Linked DNA regions of Daphnia pulex. The protein of the gene in region 1 interacts with the protein of each later gene in a pairwise test. Links are inferred from orthologs where the notes say so. Each region holds a gene or a part of one and is shown in the gene's direction. Other genes may lie near its edges. The genes, in order: peroxisome biogenesis factor 10-like and peroxisomal biogenesis factor 19-like.

Region 1 (4,023 bases):
CTTCTTTCCATCCATCACAAAAATAAAACCCCCTTCTTTCTCGAGTCTGATAATCTTTTTTTCTTCTTTTTCCTAGAATGTGATTTTTTTCCTATTTCTTCTCCCCTAAAGAGAACCTTAAAAAAGAACCTGAGGCTCTATGGAAAAAGTGGTCAGTCTGGTATAAGAAGAAAAAAAAGACGCAAGTTTTTCAGCCTTGAAGCCCGCGAGTGATGGATACCACCACGACGGTGGTGGTGGTGATGATAATAATTATTATACAGGCGCTATAATATCAGGGAAATGAATCAAAAAGAAATGTTTTGTTCTCTTACCCAGGATCGTTGGGTACTTCGGTGGTGTTGTCGCCATGCTGCGACTGCGAGTGAGCATCCATGTTGTCCATCTTCTTTCACAAACTTTGGAAACCTTAAAAATCAAGAGAATAAGAAAATTAAAAATTTTGTCAATCGCTTAGTTAATGAAACAAAAACTCACTTGTCAAAAATAAAACTTTTTTCTATTTGATTCCAGCCGAAATAGCCTCGCCACGTTGGTTGATTAATTGATTAGATTCCTATCCACGGCACCTGTGCCCGGGTTCCCAAAAAGTTACACAAGGGCTCGGATGACTGCAACAAACAGAAAATAAAAAAAGTTAAGTTTTTTAAGGGGGGAAAAAAAGATAAAAAGTCGATCGATCGACATTCCACAATGATACATTTATAATCAGATTACACAAAAATAGTGGGTCTAGAACCCTACATATTTTTTAGGCGAGTCTAAAATATTTTTTCCAAAAAAGAGAATCAATACCTCGGGAGTTTTTTGGAAGGTTGAAAATGTTCCAGTCGGAATTATTAAAATTTTCTCTCTTCTGACTTGTCTGTCTGTGTGTGTGTGTCTTGGATTACAGCCGAGAGAGAGAGATAGGGGAGACGCCGGGAGGAAGAAAAATCAAGAGAAGGAAATTGAATGAAGAAGTGGAGAGACGAGTTCACTTCTTCTACAGTTTCGATTAGGACAAGAAGAGCAGCCAAAGCAAAACGGAAGTCGAAGGGGATTGTTTTGTTATTTGGTGTGTGTGTGTGTGTGTAAAAAGAAGAAGAACGACGACGACGGCGAGTTTTTGGAGAAGAAGAAGAGAGAAATATATGTGTGGGGGGATTGACTTGTATACACACTCGCACACACTCACTCAAACACACACACTTTTTCGCTTGGGGTGAATGATTTTTTTGAAAAAATCTCAAAAGTAGAGGGGATGGATAATATATATTAATGAATTAAAACTGCTGATCAAAACTCTCTGCTTGTTTAAAGATTAATTTTTTTAATGATTACAGCTCGACTGACTGATTCCTACACTGAACAACTAAAAAAACTACCGGAGATGAACTCCTCCGGCCTGTTTCTGCAACGCGCGAGGGCACTTTACACACTGAGGGCAGCCATTGCTAACGCCTCTGTAGTAGTAGTTGAGCTCCTCTAGTCTATTTCCTCCTAGTTGTCCACAGGGGCTTCTTCCTTCCCCCCCAACACCACCCTCTCTGTGTATTTTACAAGCAGTCGACAGCTACTCGCACGCCATCTAACGCTCAACATTGCCACTTCTCGACGGCTACACGTCAAAATAGTTTTACGCCATAGTGGCCGTCAACGCAATTAAATAAAGAAGCTAATCAAAAGAAAGTCGTGTAAAATAATATACTGATAACCGTAATAATCTTGCTCGAGGCCAAAAACCAAGTCGAAAGAAAGTTGCTATTTAAAAAATAAGAGTACACAGAAGCAATAAAAACGTTTGTGTGTGTCTATGGGAAAGACCTACATTTTCACTTCTTGTAACACATCGACGTACGACGTCGGGCCGGGTCTGCGCCGTTGTGGTTTACCATAGAAAATAACAAATGGCCTTGACCCGATTGTGTCATCATCTACACACGGGAGCTTCAAAGGTCACTCTCTCGAGTCTCGCTTTCGTTGGAATGATCACCATATTTATTCATTCCCCGGACGTCTAAACCAGTGGATGGTCGCCACCATTTGTCCGTCCTTTACAACAGGCTCTCCGTGAGAGTATAGACAAGTTTTTTCGATTGTTTTCTTTTTTTCTTAAAAAATATGGCCGTGTTCGTGGAAGCCAATCCACCCGAGATCCTTCGAGCCTCCCAAAAGGATGAGTCTTATATCAACACCATCAAGAACGAACTGGCTGACATTGTACAACGTCTTTTCGGTAAACAACTGTTTTTAAGTGGAAATTTTTTCTAGCAGTGACCTTCTCATTGTTTACCATCTTGCTGTACACACAGGAAATCAGACATGGCTGAAGGTCCAGTGGCTATCGGACCTCACCTGTGTCTTCCTATATTACACCTTGACCACCTTGTTGGACAATCAAACCCTCGGAGAGGAATATGTAGGGCTCATACAAGTCAATCCAACATTAAGGGCTCTTCCCTCTAAATTGGTAAATAACAATATAACAAGCACTAGTACCTGACATTAACAAAGTTTCTATTTAGACAAGGCTTACTGCCATCACTCTGCAAGTATTAGGACCACGGCTGTTCAGTCAAGTCATGAAAAAGCTGGACACCTGGCTACGAAATCCAGAAAATATCCCTGATTTAACACCCAAAGCCAGAGATTACATTTTATTGCTGACAGAGCTGATTCACAGCAGCAGTTTTTGGGTGGGGCGACTCAACTTGGTTTTATTCTACATGTACGGGAAATACTACAGGCTATCTCAGAGAATGGCCAAGATCCATTACGTAAGACTGCATTAGATTACAAATACCCAAGCAAATTAATCCAATATTCTATTTCTAGGTATTCGCTACAGACTACTTGAAAACAGAAAATTACAACCCAACATTCAAGTTCATTGGGCAAATGGCCCTTACACACCTTGTTCTACTTTTACTTACAAATTCCATTACCAAATGGAAAAATGGCAGTTCCAAAAACAATTCCAGTGCAATTTCGGTAAGTATTTCTCAACAAAATTCCTTTCCATTTTGAAACCCTCATTAAAGCTAAGCAAATGCTAAACACAGGTGGTGGACAGTTCTAGTGAAAAATGTGCTGGCACATCACCCTCGACAACAGCGAAATGTTCCCTTTGTTGGGATTCAAGAAAAAACACAGCCTGCACCCCATGTGGCCACCTGTTCTGCTGGCAATGTATTTTGCAATGGTTGCAAACCAAGCATGAGTGTCCTCTTTGCAGAGAAAGTGTGCAACCTTCAAGAATTGTGCCATTATTGAATTATGAATAATCTATGTCAGAGTCCAAACAGCTATTTTGTGAAAATGTTTTGCACAATGTGTTGAAATAAAACTCGCTATGTTTTTGACGAGCCAGCCTTCTTCATTCAAAAATCCACATTCGTTCGATTTAAAAGGGAATCGCGTCTTAGATCTTAACCAGAGGAGACATTTTACGAGACACAAAGAAGAGATTAGTCAAAAAGTCTAACCTGAATTTATCAGAAGATTGTAATATCGTCATCTAGACAAACAGGCTGTCTCGTTCGTCGGAAGCATTTTCTTGAATTGTCACGTGCTTTTTCCCTAAAGAGGACACAGTCAGACCCAGGGTATCGAGTACGCACTAGTCCACAACTATTTTGTATTAAAATATGGCTTCAACTGACAGCACTCGACACCTAGCGGCCAACTAAAACATTACTTCATGGGAAATTTTTAAAACAAGATGGGCAGCAAATCAACGAAATAAATCTACTTTCGCCGGAACGGAGATCGTGTCGAAAAGAAAACATCATAATGACTCGTGTCTCCTTTTACCATTCCAGTACGCGGTAGCATTTTGACCTGGAAAAAGAAAGAAAAAACGGATGAGAACGTTTCAAACGACTGAACATTAGGGCGTCTCCTGTTTAATATCGTTCCGAAACGACGGGAGGAAGTTCGACATCAGATGGGGAGAAAGTTTAGAGCTTCTTTCTCTTTCAGTGTTTTTTGAGTATGTAACTGAGAACCCTACAAGTGTTAAGTTCAGTGTCTCATCTTCGT
Region 2 (3,581 bases), on another chromosome or scaffold:
TTATTTTTAATTCCACGTTAAACTTGAAGTGCTCTTCCAGTGCTTTTCTCCTTTTTGTGTATCGTTTCTCCTTACATGCAAATACTGAGCACCCATACAGTTTTCCCCGGTCTTATTAGTACTTAGGAGGTGCTACGAATCATTTGGCTATGATCATTTGTTCTCGTTTAACAGTGGTTAAACTGTGTCTTTTTTAAAGAGTAAAAATGTCCCCCAAACGAACTTCAGCCGAATTCATTACCAATAGAAATTGCAGCCTAAATGTTCGTCCTGTAACTTTATCACATAAAGGTTATTAATCCGTTACAGCTATAAGCTGTTATCTAAAATGATTTAAAACTCTGTTAGAATATGGATCGCGTGTTTAAAACCAAAATTTTTTTATTAACTAGTATCAGGGGTGAAATTGGGTTGGTGCAGGTCATGTTGAATGTTTACATTTTTAATGAATGAAATACAGATGCATTACTTGCATTTTTTTAAGTTCACTCATTTTGATTCATACTTGAATTTCCATTTTATCAGCATTCAACACATTATGTGTCAATTATTTTTTTAAGCAATTGAAGTTTGCCTTAAAAAAAAAAATGACTCCACCATCTCGAAATCATACCAGGTAGGCTAGATGGTGAATTTTCTTGATTTGGTGAACATTCGCGATGTGTCATTCCAGAATCGGTAGTACAGCAATTCGTGAAGAAGAGAAGAGGAAGAATAAAACGAAGCAAGATATTGGAGGATCAGTGAAAACTACTACTCATGTATTGATTTTGGTATCAGCAATGGACAAGCACTATTGCGGCAAGGCAGACCACCGTGTACGTTATAGAATATCACAATTTTTACTGTCATTTTGTCGGAAGACATATTACCTTTACCAACTGAACGTACTTTTTCAAAATTCCTTCTTTCATAGCTTTTAATTTGGGTCTGGCAGGTAAGTGAAATTGATTTGAACTTTGAAGCAAAGGCGGGATGGTAACGACTGCTCGACTGGTAACAACGGGATATAACGACATGTTCGATGTTCTGTTTTCATTTGTTAAAGCAAGACTAAGCTTAAAGCAACCGCCCTAATGGAAATCTTTGATTTTGACTATGTTACGAAATATTACTGTTAGGTTTAGAAAATATTTATGAATGAGCAGTCGCTTCTGTTATTCAGAACAAAAAATACATTTTACTCTCCCAATAAAGACGCAAAATTCAAAACCTAAAAAAAAAGTGATTTGTTTTAATTCATTTTTCACGCCAAATATAATTTTAATAAACAAGCATTCATGAATCATGATGAAGCGCATCTGCTTCATTCACGCACGCACGAACCATCACTAAATACCGAATGATTTCGGCAACATCGCGTTTTATTTATGAGGTAGTATTTCGTCGTCTTGTCTGGTCTTGCACTCTTTTCCTTGTCGAAATTTCCGGATGAGCAAGTTTTGAAGCCTGTGTCGATATTATTGATATCGAAATCTATTTCTACTTATACAATTCTGTACTTTGCTGTAAATAGATACATTTCAGTATGAGTGGAACCGGTTCTAATGATCCAAAGTCTGTACAAGATACGGCAGATATTAAAGAAGAATCTAAAGGAGATGACGAAGAACTAGACGCTTTACTTGACGGTATGTAGTTTAAACTAACTAGTTATTTGCCAACAAAGGAATAAAACATTCATTAAATGTAACAGATGCCCTGGAAGGATTTGACAAGCCACTGCAAGTGCCCAAAACAAAAGACAATGTTAAAGCCGAAGCAGCAGCACCTACAGATCAAGTATCAGATGTTGTGTGGTCTGAGGAGTTTATTCAAGAAGCGAGTTTGGAATTTGAGAAAAATATTCGTTTGATGATGGCAGAAACAGCACCAGGGGCCAGTGGTGATTCTGGATTTGCTGAAAGTTTGTTAAAGGTATCACAAGAAGCTGCAGCTAAAGTATTTGAAAGACAACCAGACCAGGGAGCATCCTTTGCTGATACTCTACGCTATTTAGCAGAAGGAACAGAATCACTTCAGGTAAATTTTTGTGGGTAGGATAAACCAAACTTTTTTATTTTTACTTTAACATGTCCTTATTTTTTCCATAGACTGAAGCTGATGAAGCTACATTAGCCAAAATGCTTGAAAAAATGGCATTTGGACCAGATGGGGGATTTGGAGATGGTGCTGGTGGAGATATGGGAGGTTTGGGTGACATTTTACCTGCAATGCAAGGAATGCTTCAAAGTTTGTTATCAAAGGAGTTGCTTTATCCATCTATCAAAGAGATTGTTAGCAAGGTAAGCATTCACTTGAGAACTGATGATAGTCAATCTTGTCTCTCATAACTTATTGTTATCTCCTTAGTACCCAGATTGGCTCGCAGACAATCGGCCGAAATTAGAACCTGCGCAATTTGAAAAATACAACCGCCAATACGCCGTTATGCAGCAAGTGTGTACCGAATTCGAAAATGATAACGACACTGATGATGCAGCGACGAAAAATAGTCGCTTTGAAAAGATATTAACTTTGATGCAACAAATGCAAGAATGTGGCCATCCCCCTAAAGTGAGTGCGACTACGAATAATTTGATTGATTTTCATTTAATGAAAAATCTTAATTTCAAGGAACTGGCTGGTGAAGCTGAACTGCTACCGAATCCCTTCGGTGGCGCGGATTTTGCTCAATCGATGGGACCTGGTGCCGAAAATTGTGTTGTTATGTAATTAATATAGTATGTTATAAAACATGTTTTTGTTATTGAAATTGGGCTATAAAAGGTATTAGAAGGTCGTTAAAAAAAATTGTTTGAACGGCATTACAACTTAATTTTATCATTAATGGCGTCAATTCTCAATGATTTAAACAAATACGTTTTGTATTTACACGTATGACGAACTTGCCCGTCTCATTTTGGATCGTTGCTCACACTCTGTTACAAGCTTATTAAGTTCATCAGCCGAATAGCCCAACAGTTGTTTGAGGTCACAAACAAATTTATACACAAATCGTTTACCGCTTACTTTGCAAATCATATCGCCATCATAATAATACCTCAGGGCTCGACTGAGTTTCTCATAGTTCATGTGTGGTTTGTTTTTCCTTTCTCCCCATAGTTGAGCCACCATTTCGGGGTTATTTAATTTGAATTCTCCTCCTGTCCCAAGCCAAGAAATAGCATCCCGGAAATTCACATCGGTCAACAGCTCAAGGAGAAACTGCCAGAGTTGTACCTGGCCATTGCTGCCTGTGAAACGGACAAGTTAATTCAAGTTAAAATCACCTTGATCATTAAAGCATACATATACTATATTTTTTAAATACCTGTTCGGTTTCCTGAGTTAGCAATCGAGAACGAACGCGAGGAAAATGTTTCAAGGGGAATCCTTTTTGCTGGAGTAACAACTTTAACAGGCGGTCTTGGCATTCTGGAAGTATCAGATTTAACTGTCAATGGAGTTGTGATATACTGAAGATAAGGCACTGGTTTTTGAATCACCCCTGCATAAAACTTTTTAGTACACGTTTGCTATCGTAAAAATTCAAACTTTGATTCAATACCGACAAATTTGCATTTTCGTAGTAGTTCGAG

Evidence for each region.
Region 2: the proteins of peroxisome biogenesis factor 10-like (region 1) and peroxisomal biogenesis factor 19-like interact in a two-hybrid assay, tested with the Homo sapiens proteins (4 studies listed by BioGRID and IntAct, with this or other methods). The link is inferred for Daphnia pulex from reciprocal best matches to the Homo sapiens genes PEX10 and PEX19.

What each region holds. Positions count from the first base shown.
Region 1 is NC_060026.1:15,822,017-15,826,039, forward strand, and holds peroxisome biogenesis factor 10-like, read left to right. Parts: upstream 1-1,614; 5' UTR 1,615-2,103; coding exon 2,104-2,218; intron 2,219-2,294; coding exon 2,295-2,452; intron 2,453-2,507; coding exon 2,508-2,759; intron 2,760-2,817; coding exon 2,818-2,973; intron 2,974-3,044; coding exon 3,045-3,266; 3' UTR 3,267-3,347; downstream 3,348-4,023.
Region 2 is NC_060022.1:6,085,172-6,088,752, forward strand, and holds peroxisomal biogenesis factor 19-like, read left to right. Parts: upstream 1-1,371; 5' UTR 1,372-1,528; coding exon 1,529-1,631; intron 1,632-1,696; coding exon 1,697-2,022; intron 2,023-2,093; coding exon 2,094-2,285; intron 2,286-2,352; coding exon 2,353-2,556; intron 2,557-2,616; coding exon 2,617-2,715; 3' UTR 2,716-2,830; downstream 2,831-3,581. Other genes in the region: DNA-binding protein Ets97D-like, read right to left, coding at 2,872-3,236, 3,314-3,490, 3,551-3,581. UniProt on the Homo sapiens protein: Necessary for early peroxisomal biogenesis. Acts both as a cytosolic chaperone and as an import receptor for peroxisomal membrane proteins (PMPs).